2 linked regions of the Arabidopsis thaliana genome follow. The protein of the gene in region 1 purifies or fractionates together with the protein of each later gene. This does not show direct contact. Each region holds a gene or a part of one and is shown on either strand. Other genes may lie near its edges.

What was found. The genes of interacting proteins can lie anywhere in the genome.
Region 2: the proteins of TOC132 (region 1) and TIC110 purify together in Arabidopsis thaliana (affinity purification with western blotting, with the first as the bait; one study listed by BioGRID). This does not show direct contact.

Annotation. Positions count from the first base shown.
Region 1 is NC_003071.7:7,210,139-7,217,946, forward strand, and holds TOC132 (multimeric translocon complex in the outer envelope membrane 132), read right to left. Parts: upstream 5,480-7,808; 5' UTR 5,342-5,479; exon of another isoform or gene 4,989-5,341; 5' UTR 4,972-4,988; coding exon 1,351-4,971; 3' UTR 1,256-1,350; intron 1,142-1,255; 3' UTR 921-1,141; downstream 1-920. Other genes in the region: AT2G16630 (Pollen Ole e 1 allergen and extensin family protein), read left to right, coding at 392-734; PRORP2 (proteinaceous RNase P 2), read right to left, coding at 5,799-5,927, 5,999-6,067, 6,170-6,290, 6,389-6,567, 6,666-6,767, 6,937-7,808. UniProt on the Arabidopsis thaliana protein: GTPase involved in protein precursor import into chloroplasts. Seems to recognize chloroplast-destined precursor proteins and regulate their presentation to the translocation channel through GTP hydrolysis.
Region 2 is NC_003070.9:2,129,373-2,137,718, reverse strand, and holds TIC110 (translocon at the inner envelope membrane of chloroplasts 110), read left to right. Parts: upstream 1-2,015; 5' UTR 2,016-2,155; coding exon 2,156-2,679; intron 2,680-2,762; coding exon 2,763-2,822; intron 2,823-2,907; coding exon 2,908-3,031; intron 3,032-3,137; coding exon 3,138-3,206; intron 3,207-3,300; coding exon 3,301-3,399; intron 3,400-3,528; coding exon 3,529-3,595; intron 3,596-3,913; coding exon 3,914-3,978; intron 3,979-4,055; coding exon 4,056-4,150; intron 4,151-4,580; coding exon 4,581-4,708; intron 4,709-4,781; coding exon 4,782-4,882; intron 4,883-5,023; coding exon 5,024-5,240; intron 5,241-5,546; coding exon 5,547-5,701; intron 5,702-5,855; coding exon 5,856-5,981; intron 5,982-6,087; coding exon 6,088-7,059; intron 7,060-7,167; coding exon 7,168-7,416; 3' UTR 7,417-7,666; downstream 7,667-8,346. Other genes in the region: AT1G06960 (RNA-binding (RRM/RBD/RNP motifs) family protein), read right to left, coding at 186-455, 573-652, 755-848, 1,132-1,304, 1,717-1,789; AT1G06930 (TPRXL), read right to left, coding at 8,047-8,346. UniProt on the Arabidopsis thaliana protein: Involved in protein precursor import into chloroplasts. Forms a voltage-dependent cation-selective channel at the inner envelope of chloroplasts, which specifically responds to a transit peptide.

The DNA of each region.
Region 1 (7,808 bases):
ACAAGCCTAGATTTTCGGGTTTTTTCGGTTTTTGGCTCCATGAGTGAGCTTTCATATTTGTTCCTTATAGTACTTCAAATTCTGCTTCGGTATTTTGGTTTTTAAATTTGATTTTTCAACTAAAACCGAATTATTTGTTGGTTTGAAAATTGTTGTTTACTTAACATTTCGGTTCTGTTTTAAATTAAAATTGATAAAATTACAAAGAAAATAATGTATATTATATATCTTTAGTAGCTAAATATGATTTTTGGTAGTATAATCTTACTATTGGACTTTATTCGGTTTGGTTAGGCTAAGCTTGGTTCTTAGTTCGGTCTTACTTTCATATCTGTTTATTATGCACACCTTTGTTTCAGATAATTTTTAACATTGTGGCTTTGTGATATAGGTTGTGGATGAAACCTGAGTACAGATGCTACTGGAGGGCGATAGGTCCAGACACAAAGGTCGCAGTTGCATTTGGGCTAGTAGCCGGGAGAATATACGGCACAGATATGACAGTACGAGAAGCGCTTGACGGGCGAGGAGAAGCCTATAAGACACTTCTAAGAGAGGCAACAACTGCATTGCTCAATTCATACAACTCTCTAGGATTTCCTTATAATTCCGTCGCTGTGATCACATATACCAATCTGGCTCTCCTCGGGAATTCGGAACACGATGTCCTCATGACTGCTATTCGTTTCATCAAGGCTAATTCCGGGACCTGCAGATTCACAGTCTGCAATTGATTGAATGTGTTTTCAATACTTATATACTCTACACTCTTTCTTTCTCTTTTACATTGTTCTTGGGTCCTTTTGTAATACTATAAAAGTCTATACCTGGATTCATTGGAGAATTTATGGACTATTATTGTATCCCTATTTATACTCGGCATTAAACTTAGTTGTTACAAAGCCTAACGTTCTAGCACTGTGAGCACTAAATGTTGTTATGATATAATGCATCAATGATTGGAGAGGGACATGAACAAAAGTAGATATGCTTCATTCATAAGGGAGATCACAAGGTCTTAGAAATAGAAGAAAAACAAACCACTGAGCTATTATATATCAGACAAGGAACGTGTTATGTTCTGGCTATTTCAAGACACAAACTTTCCTCCAACAATTGGTCTCTTGCTACCAGACAGATCCTGTTCAAAACCAAAGCACATCAACGCTCAGCAAAATCCATTAAGAGGGTTTCCAAGAAAACGAAAATATCGAAATCAGTAATCACAGTAAGATATAGAGATCAGATTGTGTACCTTTTCAACTCACTCTAACATGTTCTTGTGACTAATCGATTCCTAATACTCCAGTGCAAAGGGATGGAAGTGAAATCAGCCTAAATGTTTCTTAATCATTGTCCATATTGCGTTTGCGGGTAATAATAACTAAGTAGCTTCTTGAAGAGAGGAACAATCGCAACCATAGCAAGTTGGAGCTGCTCGGAGCTGTTAACACGAACACTTACTTGCCCTGCTCCTCTATTGTTCAGATTAGCACGAGCAATTAAATTAGAGGAACGTCCAATGGGAACCTGAGACTGTATGTTCCCTCCAATAGCAAGATCACCGTGCCAATCCATTACAGAAAGTCCAAGAGTAGTCAAAAACCGACCAAGCGGATAATCTTTATCTCTCAACTGAGCTTCCAAAGTACCACCATAAGCAAAATCTCCCCGACTAGTCATAGCTCCACCAGACATTACGATTCTGAACCATTTACTAGCAATAAACTTATCTTCGACTTTCAACCCCGCAGAAACCGAATCACCCAAGTGTGTTACAGAAAGACCAGCTGCAGCCTTGTTTCTCCTGAAATTGTTAAATCTCGTTTCGCTTCGAAGAGTATAAGCCAATTCCTTTCCAACAGTTTGCATGTCGAAACCTAGGGAAGTTGATTTACCCTCTCCATGTTTAACCGAGCTGGCCATTTCTAGCTGCACATTTGCATCCTTCTTGTCTTTTGTCACTTGACCTGAGACAGATATTGGTATTTTTTCTTTTACAACAAAGAGCCGTTCTGCATTCACACCTTCATAACCAATATCATGATCCCACCCATGAGTTTCCAGGACTGGCCTAACAAGCCACTGATTGGAGGAATCAAGGTACCGGTAGCGGTGAGTAGGGTTATCAGAGTCAAAAGACGCAGGTAGAGATAAATCTGGCATAGGAACTGGAACTGATGCAGGTCCACCACTCTCCTCTTCCACATTTTCACTATACCCATCAGGCAAATCTTTAATCTCTGCAGCAAATTTCTTAAACATCTTACGTCTCTTTCTTTCCTCTTTCATTTGCTTCTTCATTAAAAGTTTCTCTCGGTACTCCATTTCATCGAGATACTGCTTCTTCTGAGATTTACTAAGCGTAGCCATCTGAGCTTTAGTCAAACTCTTAAACGGAGGAAGCTGATCATACTCTGATTCTTCGTCTGAATCTGATGATTCTTCTAAATCATCTTCATCTTCTTCATCACCATACTGCTGTTCAGGAAGCTTAGGTTGTGGTCTTGATTGCAGAAGCGATGAAAGGAGAAATGGTAATGGCGGAGCCTTGGACCGAGCTGCAAATGGTCTCCCTGGAATATTATCTTGCAACTTCAAAAGAGCATTTGCTTCTGCTAGAATCTTAGATGCAAATGAGAGTAGCAACAAATGTGGCTTCCACACTTGGCCATTCGGTAATACTCTCTGGCCTGCCCGATTAGTCCTGCAAGCTGAGTGATTCTCAACTAAAGAAACAGGGTTCATGAGCCTCATATCTCCAGCTGCTTGGCGAATGGCCTGCTGGATGACATGAGAACGTTGTGTAACAAACATATCATAGCTAGAAGCAGTGCCATTTGGGCCATCTGGTGGAACAGAAGCGGCATGAGTCAAACCCACAATGGCATTAAACCATATCGAAGGACCAAAAACATCACTTATGGTGCGCAGGAGAGGCATGTCACCAGAATCTCTGCTTTGCATATCCAACCTATCAAGATATAGTACAATGTCAGGTGGATTCTTCTTGATGAAAGCCTTAACAGAATTCAGGATCTTCTCATTCTTGGCTTGATCAGACCAGGAAGGTAAGAGACCGGGAGTGTCAATCACCCGTACCTTAATTCCCTGAACCAAACCCTCAACATCTTGAACCCTCTTTGTCCCCATCTGGAATGCATCAGTACAAAATTTCACTTCATCAAATATAGAATTGATCGTTGCACTTTTACCAACCCCACTTTTTCCGAGAACCATAATCGTACAAGAAAAATCAAGTGGATCCTGTCCAGCAGCCTCAAGCTGTTCTGCCATGGCACTAGCGCGATCAAAACTAAAAGCACCAACACGGCTTCCATTTCTGCCCCTCAACTGCTCAGCCAATCCAAGCCTGTATAAAACCTGAGCAACAACAACATTATGCGGGGTTTGCCCTAGTCTATGTGCAAGCCTCAAAAATTTTACCCTGATCAACTGGAGCTTCTCGCGGGTCTCATCATGCTCATCAGCCTCTGTAGTGGTAGAGTCTTCAGCTTGCTGAAACTGATTGTGAGACCCATTCCCATTGACGCGAGACTGTTGAGGAGCACGTGATGCAGGTTCCAAAAGAGGAGAAGCACGACCAAGACCTGCTGGACGAGCAGGTGGTAATGCCGCAGGATTACTTCTAGACTCTGTTGGTGAAACAGAACTTACTACCTCAGGTTCTGTTTCCACATGTGAATTTTCTGTAATCTCTGGATCTACATGTACTCTGCTGCTTTGCTGCTTCTCAAGCTCCTTATTTGGTTGAGGACTCTGAACATCATGTCCTCCATTAGCACTTTGAACTGGTTTGTGTTCTCTACTAGTTACCCCAGGGGAGCCACTATTGCTGTGAACTTCAGTTGACTCAGGATATGAGTGCGGCGAAGAAGCCAAGTGTTGCTCTGGTTTTAAACAAGTACTGTCCCCTTCAGTCTCTCCCTTTTCCCCGGAACTAGATTCCTCCAATGGAGATGAAGTCACAGCACTTGATACTTCATTGTCACCTGAAGCATTAGTAACGATATTACTTGTGTAGGCGGCACCAGTCTCACCATTTCTTTCTGCCTCGGACTCACTGTCCATACATACTGAACCATTCTCAAATAGATCCTTACTTGTTCCTTCACCTTCCACAACATCTTGTTCTGTCTGTTTCTCAAATAGATTCTTACTTGTTCCTTCACCTTCTACAACCTCTTCTTCTGTCCGTTTCTCAAATTGATTTTCAGTTGTTCCTTCACCTTCCTCAACCTCTTGTTCTGTCTGTATGCCATCAACTCTTTCCTCCCAATTATCGACTTCAATGCCATCATTCCATGGTTCCTCAATCCCATCATCTTTAGGGATAACTTCAGCCACCACTTCTTTATTTTTAGGAGAGGCGATTCCATTTCCCAAAAAAGAATGAGTCTTTCCGTTTTCAATACCCACATGCTCAGCTGCTAAATTGGAACCATTAGTATTAGTTGATGTAGCATTCTCAGTGGTATCAACAACATCCAAGCTCGATTCAACTTTATCATAAGAACCACCTCCACCTCCTTCCCCCTTATCACCATTCATTTTAGTAGCCAAAACATCAAATTCAGCCTCTCCCGCACCATGGCTCTCTCCAACAGCCGTAAAATCTTTAACACCCCCTTCATTGCTACTCGTTTCATCCAAATCACCCACTGCCTCTTCAAAATCCTCCACTTCATGCTCAACCATAGAACTTTTAAGAGTTTCCACTAAAGGCAAATCATCAGATTCAAACAATTCACGTTTTGGATCCTCCTCCTCCTCCTGCTCATCATTCTCTGAACCAATCGCTTCCTCAAAAACCTCGTCCTCGTTATCATCCCTTACTTCATCAGATCTCACCAACTCATTCTTCACTACTTGCTCATCACTAATTCTATCCTCAGCAAGCTTCTTATCTTCCCTATCTGACCTAACCACAAACTCAGTCCCATCTCCCATTTTCTAGATCACCACCGCTACGGGAAACAAAAGCCACAAATACAATAATCAGAGATCAGAAATCACTCCAATTACCAACTACGCTTTAACCATCAATATAAATTCCAACAACCAAAAAAAAAAAAAAACGAGCACACAGCTAAAAGAAACCTAGATCAGAGTTAATCACCACGAATCCTAGAATCCTTATCCCTTACCAATTCCAGAAACTAAAATTCAATTGAAGTTAACCAAATCGCTTAAACACAGGTCTAAGCGGTGATAGGGATCTCCAAACATGGAAGAAGAACTTTGTTGATTACAGGAAACGAAAACCAAAACAGAAGAAAGAAGACGAAGAAAGAAGAAGAGAAATGGAGAGAAGCCTTACCAGAAGTTAGAGATAGAGAGAGAGAGAGAGAGAGAGAAATAGAGAGAAGGTGAAAAAGTGTGAAGATCCTTTCATGCGCTTTACCGGCTGCGAGCCTGCGACTACGACGGGGAAGGAGATAAGAGACGTTCATCAACGGTCCTGATCAGTTTGGGTTTAAGCATCGTACGGTTGATAATGACTCGTTGATGCAATCGTGAAATGATGCTGACGTGGACTATATAAAGTAGAGTGAGTGAAGCCGTGAAAGGGAATAGAAAACCCTCGTGCGTCAATTCGGTTTAACCAACCCGGTCTGATTCGGTTTGGTCTACTACAATTTTTTGTGTTCTTTCTAATGAGAAAAGTTCAGTCCCTTATTATAGAACCAATGAACGTTTTTTGTGTTAATCTTCAAAGGACAAAGAATGAAAACTCATAACAAATGATACATGAACTCAATAAGCTGGTGCAGCTACTAAGGAATCTTCCCATTACTCTTAGGTGAATCTAAAATACTTTGTCTGCTAATACACATCCAAGTTCTTGAAGACTCTTCATTGTTTTCGCATGAGACCGGGAAATGCCATGACCCTTTCTCTGATTCCTGATTTTGTCGAAACGTAATTGAGAAACTATCGAAACCGGAGAAAAAAAGGACTGAGATGGTAAACAAACCTGAATGACAACCGAAAAAGGAGACGGCATTTCAAGCTTCAGGTTACCTTTCACAAAAGTATACCGGACCTGTACCAAAACCATAAACCAAATGTTCTAATTGTAGACTTCTCAAAGTTGCACTTTTAGTATAAAAAGTTACATATTGTATATAAGTTTATATAACTTTACCTGATGTCTTTCTTTCCACTTTTGGAAAAAAGTACTCCCTAAGAGTTCAAAAATGTGGTCTCTCATCTCATCATTTGTCACAAGCAAACACTTGAGCTTAGCAGCAGCATACAGCCAATACCTGGAAAGGTAAAAAAAACAAAAGATGAGTGTAGTAACCAAACATTGTTTGTGTTTTTTGTCGAAATAATGGTGCTGAGAGAAGCTAAAAGTTCATACCAATCATCATTGGAACCTGGTGGAGTTGCATACAGGACACCGTTACTAATCCATTCTTCAACCAGATTCCGGTGAGTTGGGTTTTCTAAAAGCGTCTTGACCCGTCTCTTGTGCAATAGAATTAGGGGCCATTTGTTATTACCACTTTCACGGTAAAGTTCCTTCATCACAGATTCAAGCTGCTCTATCCCACATGTATGTGATATCAGTATAGCAAGGAATGGATTCTAAAAATATGGAGGAAGAAAAACAAGTACCCCAGAAAAGATGGGAGAACCTGTGAAAGACTGAAACTGCCATCTACAAAATTTTGTTGGTAGAGCCCAATATTTGCTCCATCTACTATAGCTTCGTAATCTCCATGTTTCTCAAGCCAGTCCTGCCAAATAAGATAGCAACATTCAACAAATATCGACATTTGAATACTCAAGATTGATGACAATTCGCAGCAAAAACTCCAACCAGTGTACCTATCTCTAAATGCTTATCATGCAATATTTAATGTCCAAGACTTATTATAACCAAGCTAAGAGAATCCCATCTCTAACCTGAAACTCGCTGAAGACCACATTTGTCTCACATGAATTCATCTTTGTCTTCCTATCCATAGCCAAAGCCACCAAAGAATCCACAAACTTCTGTGTTTCTACCTCATTGGTATCTACACAAGCTAACTGCTCACTGCAGCTCAAACATCTTCCTGTTGAGCTAACATTACCTTTCTTTACAGTCCATTTACCCTCCCCAACCCACCCATGCCCGTGCCACCCACCTCCATTATTCAAAACAGCTTCTCTAAGCATCCCAACATCAGAACCAATTCCATTATCACCAACCTCACCAGCTTTTTCTCCACAGAACCATTCCTCAATAATTTTCAAAGTTTCTTCACTAACGCAGCCAACATATTCCCTCAACTTATGTAAATATCTATAAACCTTGTTTTCTCGACCCGTGGCAGCACTTACCTTCAACAAAGCCGATATCTCTGCCTCCTCCAATGCAATACCTGCAGCTTCCATGTGCTCTTCTACCTCATAACCCTTTTCAGCCTCCAACTTCTCGCAGAAACAGAGCAAAGCCGGCGCATATGTCCTCAGACGAGGAATCGACACACCTCCAACAGAAACAAACTCCTTAACAACCTTGAAAGCATAATCACCATTACCTTTAGCAGCAGCCAGTCTAGCCACTGAAGTAACAGATGCCTCATTAGGACTTATCCCCGAACTAACCATACGATCAAAAATCTCGAAACCACGGTCAATGGCAAGGTATTGAAGAGATATGTCAGTAATGGAAGCTGAGCATAGGTACAGAAGCGTTTGAAAATGTTGCTGGCTGAGACGTACTTCACTGGAAGTGATGGCTGCATCATAAAGTGCTAATGCAGCTGAGAGGTCCTTGGACTTGGAGCATG
Region 2 (8,346 bases), on another chromosome or scaffold:
TAAAATGAGATTTTCTCCAACCAAATCACTCTCAATTCTTCGATCTCATTACATTCTGGTCTAAAGCTTCGGGGTCATTCACACCACTAATCGGAAACGAACCAAATAAAATAAGACAGTTTGCTTTTAAACAGCTACTAATTAGTATATCATTACCATTCATCCGCATAACAAAACTCTGGTTTTCACTTCTTGGCAAAAGAGACGACCATTGGATTCTGCGGAGTGATCTTGAAACCCTGAAGAGCCTGCATGGCCATGGAAGACTGAACATCGTCTTCATACTCCACAAACGCAATTCCGGGTTTTGCTTCGATCATTCTTATCTCTTTGAATCCTGGGTATTGCTCAAAGAGCAGCTGAAGCATCATACTATTCGTCTCAATGGGAAGATTATGAATGAAGAGTATGTTGTTTGGTGGCATCGTGTCTTGCCCACTCGGCTGGAAAGGAGGCTGTGAAATTACAGAGACGGGTATTAGGAAACAAGGATTTACAGACTAAGTTGCGATAATGACGTCTGTCAGAAGATAATATTGTATTGTTGGAATGATGCGAGAAAGAGAAATTGCCACAGGCATTCCGTTCTGAGTAGTTGCGCCATTAGGCATGCTTGGTTGTTGAGTTTCTTCAGCATGTCGCTTCCTTTCAACTGAAAGTGATGTGCAGTTTTGTTAAACATCAGATGCGAAGTAAAACACAGATGAAATGAGCTGAAAAGATCTGAACTTGTGATGGAAACGAAAGTTTAAACCTTTCTCTTCTTGCTTCATCTTCTTTTCTTTTGGAACAAAAGACCCTTCGGCTTTAGTAACATAATCTGACTTTGATTTTGCATATTGTATCCGCTGCACCCACAGAGATCACACATCACGATTTGAATAATAATATTGCATTTAGCTTTTTCTAGTCTTTTACTTAGTAATCACTTGTGTAATGATATACCCTCAACATCTAATGTCGTTGTACTTCCTTCAATTTTATATAACAACAAGTATCAGCAAGCAAACTCAATTTTCCCTCCAAGTAAATCTCTGCAACTTTCTAAGCTTATAGTCTCACATAACAAGATAAAATCATTTTTCGGTAGCGGGATAGATAAACCTGGAACATAAGAGAGGAAAAAGGTACCATAGGCTTATCATAGAAAGGAAAGTTCTGCATCTGACGGACAGCGTTGCTAGCAGCGGTGACTTCAGTAAAAACAACCCATGCTTGTCCCCGGAGCTTAGGAGTCTTTAACGCAACCACATCAAGTAATCTTCCAAACTGAGAGAACAAACAGTAAAGAGACCTCTTCAGCTCTGAAAAAAACAAGTGGAAACATTAAACAATGATCTGCTTGAACAGCATTACTCTTAGACAAACAAAAGCAGCAGCTAAAGAACTTAAGGTCATTGACTTCAATCAAACAATCTAAACAAATTTCATGGCAAAAGCAATCGCCTTTCCTACTTAATTACTTAAATAAAGCACCTTTGTTAGAGTATCTCTAGTTCAGGTCTATTAAGATTAGACAGAAATTCTAAATCCCTAATACTTAGAAAGATAACTCTAAATGCATCTAATCTAACCTTCGTAAACATCAAATTAAGCAACTTTAAACTCAGACAACTCATTCAAGAGAAGCTCACACAAGCATTACCAAGCTACTTAAGCATTGCAAAAACTCTTAGAAAATCACCGATGCAATTATATGAATTTCGTAAGCATTACCTTCTTTCTTGATCTTCTCATTGATATGTTTTATGTAGATTGACTGATTTGGTGGTATATCAGCCGTTAACATCTTTCAACTGAGCTCCGCGAAGACGACGATGGTCGATGGTCACAGCCCTGAGAAAATTTAGCGAGCCCTAAGAGCCAAGAAGAGAGAAGAAATCGTGGCGTTTCCAATTTACACAAGGCGTCTAATTTGTTTTTTTATGTAAACATCTTACCGTTACCGAAGAGTAAAACAACACGTAGTTTTATAATATTATTAAAAAACGTCTGGACGTTCGAAAGGGGATTTTGATGTTTTGTTAGGCCCTATCTCTTTCCCCTTTTCTTCGTTCGCATCTCTATCTTCTTCCGTTGTCTACTGTTTTTCGTTAAACCCTACGATTCTTCTTTTTTTCAACGACTGCTCGGATCTTTCTCAGTAGAGGGAACCATGAATCCCTCACTCGTCACCGCCATTAACGCTCCAATTTCACCTTCTCCTCGGTCTCCTCTTCTTTCTCACTTCCTACCTACTTTACCTCACCGTTTCTCCAAGTCTGAGTGTCTATCTCGCCGTCGTTATCGAGTTTCGTTCCCTCGTAGCTCAGCTGCTTCCTCCGACCAACTATCAGTATCTACGCAGGCGAAGAATCCCGGTATCCATGGGAATAAGAAGGAGCTCACTGGATTGCAACCGATTGTTGAGAAAATGACACCGCCGGTGAGGCTAGCGACTTCAGCTGTTGTATTAGCGGCGTCTTTAGCTACTGGTTACGGCCTTGGGCTCCGTTTAGCCGGCTCCAGGAATATTGCCTTTGGTGGGGCTGCTGTTGCTGGAGCCGCCGGTGGAGCTGTCGTATATGCGTTGAACTCTGCTGTACCGGAGGTAGCTGCTATCAGTTTGCATAATTATGTTGCCGAATTCGAAGATCCTGCCTCTGTGACGAAAGATGATGTAGAAAAGATCGCTGATAGGTGAGTGCTTCATTTAATTGTCAATTTGTGTCTGGGATTTATAAACAAAAGTTTGCTTAAACGATCCTTCTTATATGTTGCAGGTACGGTGTCAACAAAGGAGACGAAGCATTCCAGGCTGAGATTTGTGATATTTATTGCCGGTGAGTCAACAAAGGATACTGTGTTCATCTTTTCTCTTAGTGTGGGGAATTCATTAGTAATCTTTGCATCTTAATCTTGATTTAGGTATGTAACTTCCGTGCTTCCAACTGAAGGACAGTCTCTTAAAGGGGATGAAGTGGCGAAGATAGTCAAGTTCAAAAATGCTTTAGGGATAGACGAACCTGATGCAGCTGCCATGCACATGGAGGTGCTTTCTAGATTCTTAATCTTCATTTGAATTAGCCGTTAGCCTTTTTGTAGTTGATGCAGAAGGATCTTGATTGCTGAATCACCAATTCCTTGGTTTTGTTTAGATTGGTCGCAGGATTTTTAGGCAAAGGCTTGAGACTGGGGAGCGTGAAGGTGATGCAGAACAGCGTCGGGTGAGTCGCCAGTCCCTAGTATTTGTTAAGTTTATTGTAGGATTGTTCGAAAGAGAGCACAAGCGTGATCACAAGTTGTATGCTTCCAGTGCAGGCATTTATGAGGCTTGTATATGTTTCAGCTCTTGTGTTTGGAGATGCTTCATCCTTCCTTCTACCTTGGAAGCGAGTATTGAAGGTCACAGATGCTCAGGTAGGCATTTCCAATTTTTTTCATACTTCTGATTTTGCGCAATAGTTGTTTTATGGAAGTTTCATTTTGGCAACTCACTCCTTCTTGGTAATCTGAAGTTCTGTGCTAATGTCTTGACCTCATTTCTAGGTTGAGATTGCTATTCGTGAAAATGCAAAGCAGCTGTATGCCGAACGGTTAAAATTAGTTGGTAGAGGTAATGTTGTTCATGTTTTACATTTTGAGATGGGAAGTAATGTTACATTTGTAGAACGGGTTTGAGTTTGCTTGACTTGGTTATATTGATTATTGTGGCACTTCTTTGTCCATTGGGTTTTGTAATATTCGTTTATCAGCAAGTTGTCTGAATACCAACCTTAATTGTTACTTCGCATGCGACTGTAATGGTCCCTTCTCATTTAACATTGATAATAGATATGGCTTTTTGACAACCAAAAAAAGATATGACTTAGCTTTTTCGTCAGCTTAATGCATGGAAACTTACATGGTTATGTTTCTAAACATGTTCTTGCAGATATTAACGTAGAAAACCTTGTGGACCTTAGAAAATCACAACTATCATTCAAGCTCTCTGATGAGGTACTCTATTTCTTTGTGGCATTGACTTCCTGCTATCTCTGGTTGTACTTCTTCTGACAGTTTCTTCTCCCTCATAGCTTGCTGAAGACCTGTTTAGAGAGCATACGAGAAAAGTAGTCGTAGAGAACATTTCATCGGCACTCAGCATACTCAAATCCCGCACACGAGCAGCGTAAATCATTTTAACATATTGCTTACAGAATCATGCATAGAAAAATCGTATAGAATAATCATTATCCATGTGAACAGTTTGGTTACACATTTAACTTTTTTATTTCTTATACCAATGAGTTATGACTTTAGCTGGGTATATGTATTCCTTTGCTTGAACATTGAGTTTGGTCGGGTTGAAAAAAGAGATTGAAGTTTTGGCTTTAGTTTTGAGTTTTGGTTATTGCAAAAACTGATTGGTCATATGATCTCTTTTGCTTTTGTGAATTGTCTTATAGTATAAGTATTTAAAAAAAAGTCATGAGATTTTAATTTTATAGGCGTTTTTGTATCTTGTGATAATTAATAGTGGAAACAAATTGGATCATCTAGTATGTCTAGTTTATAGTAGTTTACAATGCATGTCATTTTAACGACCTGATTTTTTCCAGGAAGAGTTTGGCATCTGTCGTGGAAGAGCTTGAAAAAGTACTGGAGTTTAACAACCTGCTAGTTTCCTTGAAAAGTCATTCAGAGGCAGATCAATTTGCACGCGGGGTTGGCCCTATTTCTTTGATAGGTGAAGATGCTTTTGACCTTCTCTTTTCTGAAGAAAAATTATTGGCTCTCAACCTTGGATCTATGTGGCTTAGGTGATGAGTCTGATTTTGAGAGGAGAATGGATGATTTAAAGCTCCTTTATAGAGCATATGTTACAGATGCTTTATCTGGTGGGCGCTTAGAAGAAAATAAGGTATACTCAGTTTTGTATAAGATATTATGTACTAAAGCTTAGTTGCAAGTTTTTTTGAGAGTAAGTGTTTTCAGATGCTGTGTCCTCTATCCCAGTCGCATGTTTTTTTCCATTTCTAATTGTCTTTCTACTGTATGGTAGCTCGTGGCAATGAGCCAACTTAGAAACATACTCGGTCTGGGAAAACGAGAGGCTGAAGCTATTAGTGTTGATGTTACGTCCAAGTCTTACCGTAAAAGACTTGCTAACGCTGTTTCTAGTGGTGACCTTGAAGCACAAGACAGTAAAGCAAAATACCTTCAAAAGCTCTGCGAAGAGCTGCACTTTGATGCACAGAAGGCAGGCGCAATCCATGAAGGTATAAGCCGAACCTTCTGTTCACAATGAAATCTTATGTTTTTATGTTATGCATGAGGTATACAGTTGGAATTGCCACATAATCGCCCAAATGTAAGATGTGTCCATGGGTATCAATTTAGTTGATGGCTTGTAAACTTGCGGGTTCCTTATCCTTTTAAGCTAGCTTTTAGTGTTGTAGATTTGGTTCTTAACAGACTTCTAACAAGTCTGGTGTTTCAGTGGGTTACATGCTGTTATTTTACAGTTTGAGTATCTATTTGGTCTTTTTTTCCCAATCATCTGACAAGCACCTTCTCTTCCTCAGAAATCTATCGGCAGAAGCTTCAACAGTGTGTTACTGATGGAGAGCTGAGCGATGACAATGTTGCTGCTTTATTAAGGTTAAGAGTTATGTTGTGTATTCCCCAGCAAACTGTTGATACAGCTCATGCAGAAATCTGTGGAACCATATTTGAAAAGGTAATCCAGTTATCACCTCCCTTTTCCCTTTATCAAGGGTTTTTTCATGGTCTTGGGTCTTGGCACTGCAATTTCCCTCTGCTTCCCTCTCTGCCTTCGCATTTTGTTACCAAAAGGTTTTACCTCTAATTACCTTTTTGTTTAATCTTTCCAGGTTGTCAGGGATGCCATTTCTTCTGGAGTGGATGGTTATGATGCTGAAACTCGCAAATCAGTTAGAAAGGCTGCACATGGTCTTCGGTTATCCAGAGAGACTGCCATGTCTATTGCTAGCAAAGCTGTGAGTATCACACTATTTACTTTCTCCATGCTTGGTATTAGGATTTGTTAAAATTTTCTGACTTCTCATAGCAAGACATGAAAATCAAATCCCTTCATTGATGCAGGTCCGTAGGGTTTTCACAAACTATATCAGACGAGCAAGAGCAGCCGAGAACCGTACTGATTCAGCAAAGGAGCTCAAGAAGATGATTGCTTTCAACACGTTGGTTGTGACTGAAATGGTGGCTGATATCAAGGGAGAATCTTCTGATAAGGCACCTGAGGAGGACCCTGTTCAAGAGAAAGAAGAAGATGATGAAGATGAAGAATGGGGATCCCTTGAATCGCTCAGAAAGACAAGACCCGACAAGGAACTCGCTGAGAAAATGGGAAAGCCTGGCCAGACTGAGATAACTCTCAAAGATGACCTTCCCGACAGGGACAGAATAGATCTCTACAAAACATACTTGCTCTACTGTGTAACTGGAGAGGTAACAAGAATCCCTTTTGGCGCCCAGATCACAACAAAGAGAGACGATTCAGAGTACTTGCTTCTAAATCAGCTTGGTGGGATTCTCGGATTGAGTTCGAAAGAAATAGTCAACATTCACGTAGGTTTAGCCGAGCAGGCTTTTAGGCAACAAGCTGAAGTGATTTTAGCTGATGGGCAATTGACAAAGGCTAGAGTAGAGCAGCTAGACGAGTTGCAAAAACAAGTTGGTTTGCCTCAGCCACAAGCCGAGAAGGTTATCAAGAATATAACCACCACAAAAATGGCAAACGCGATAGAGACCGCTGTTAACCAAGGAAGACTGAACATAAAGCAGATACGGGAGCTCAAGGAGGCAAATGTCAGCCTGGACAGCATGATCGCTGTGAGTCTGAGAGAGAAATTATTCAAGAAGACAGTGAGTGACATCTTCTCATCAGGAACTGGTGAATTCGATGAAACCGAAGTCTACCAGACAATCCCATCCGATCTCAGTATTGATGTGGAAAAAGCCAAAAGAGTTGTCCATGATCTCGCTCAGAGTAGATTATCGAATTCGCTGGTCCAAGCCGTGGCATTACTCAGGCAGAGAAACTCTAAAGGAGTGGTATGCAAATCATCTTTTCCCTCTCTTATCGTGACAGAAAACATGGATATTTCAGCTTCTGGGTCTAAATTGTGTATGTATGTATGCTTTTTTTTTTTGGTTTTACAGGTCTTGTCGCTGAATGATTTGCTTGCATGTGACAAAGCTGTGCCGGCTGAGCCAATGTCATGGGAGGTCTCAGAGGAATTATCTGATCTATATGCTATTTATTCAAAGAGTGATCCCAAACCCGCACCGGAAAAAGTTTTGAGGCTACAATATCTGCTGGGAATAGATGATTCAACTGCAACTGCCCTCCGTGAAATGGAAGATGGAGCATTATCTTCTGCTGCAGAAGAGGGCAATTTCGTCTTTTAAATCTTTGGAGAAATCACTTGAGTTATTATGTATTGTGTTACGGCCGAGGGTGGAAAAATGATTTTGAATTTGAAATTTGACCAAAGTCTGTGAAAATTTTGTATCAGAACCATAAACTTGATATGATTAATTTGAAAATCTGCAAACGAGAAGTGTATCCCTTATACAATTTAGAGCGCAGCTTTGAAGTGCTCATGTGGTGTCACGTGACGGGTGTTCCCGCATAACGAACCTAAAAAATAGAATAACAGTTAATTCAATCATTGAGAACTTTTTTTTTAATGAAATGATTTGACCGTAACACCGTAAGTGAAAGTTAATTGTTAATTCTATGGTGGTCTCACATGACTGCACACAACTAGAACAATACTCAACAATCAACATGTATACTAGATCTGATCTCGTTATAGTATGTTTTTGTCGAAATTTCTAATTATACAAAAGCACGTCTTTTAAAGACAAAAATAGAAGCCATATGATCCAATCAATTGATTCATAGAGATGATGATATGAATCGATGAAACATAGTTTTTAGAAATTATTTCCAAGATTACAAAAAAAGAAAAAAAAGAAGTGAAAATTAATAAGAAAATAGGAGAGAGTTAAATATAAGAAAAAAGGCAGAATCATTTAACATGATCTGAGCAACACCTTGACAAGGGAAGCGTAACATCCAGAAGATTTAGCACTATTCGATCCGTAGTCTAAACTCGAACCAGATTCAAACCACATTGATCTTCTTCTGTTGCTTAAATCAGATGTCCTCAATGGAGAAGATGGAACTGAAGACGAGGACGACGAAGAAGAAGAAGCCGGAGAAGATGGCACACTACGATTCTTGGAAAGCAAGGAACTAAAGAGAGTGTTGGTTTTTTTAGGGCTTACGTGTTTTGTAGAGGATGGAGAAGCGTAGAAGTAAGAAGGAGGAGG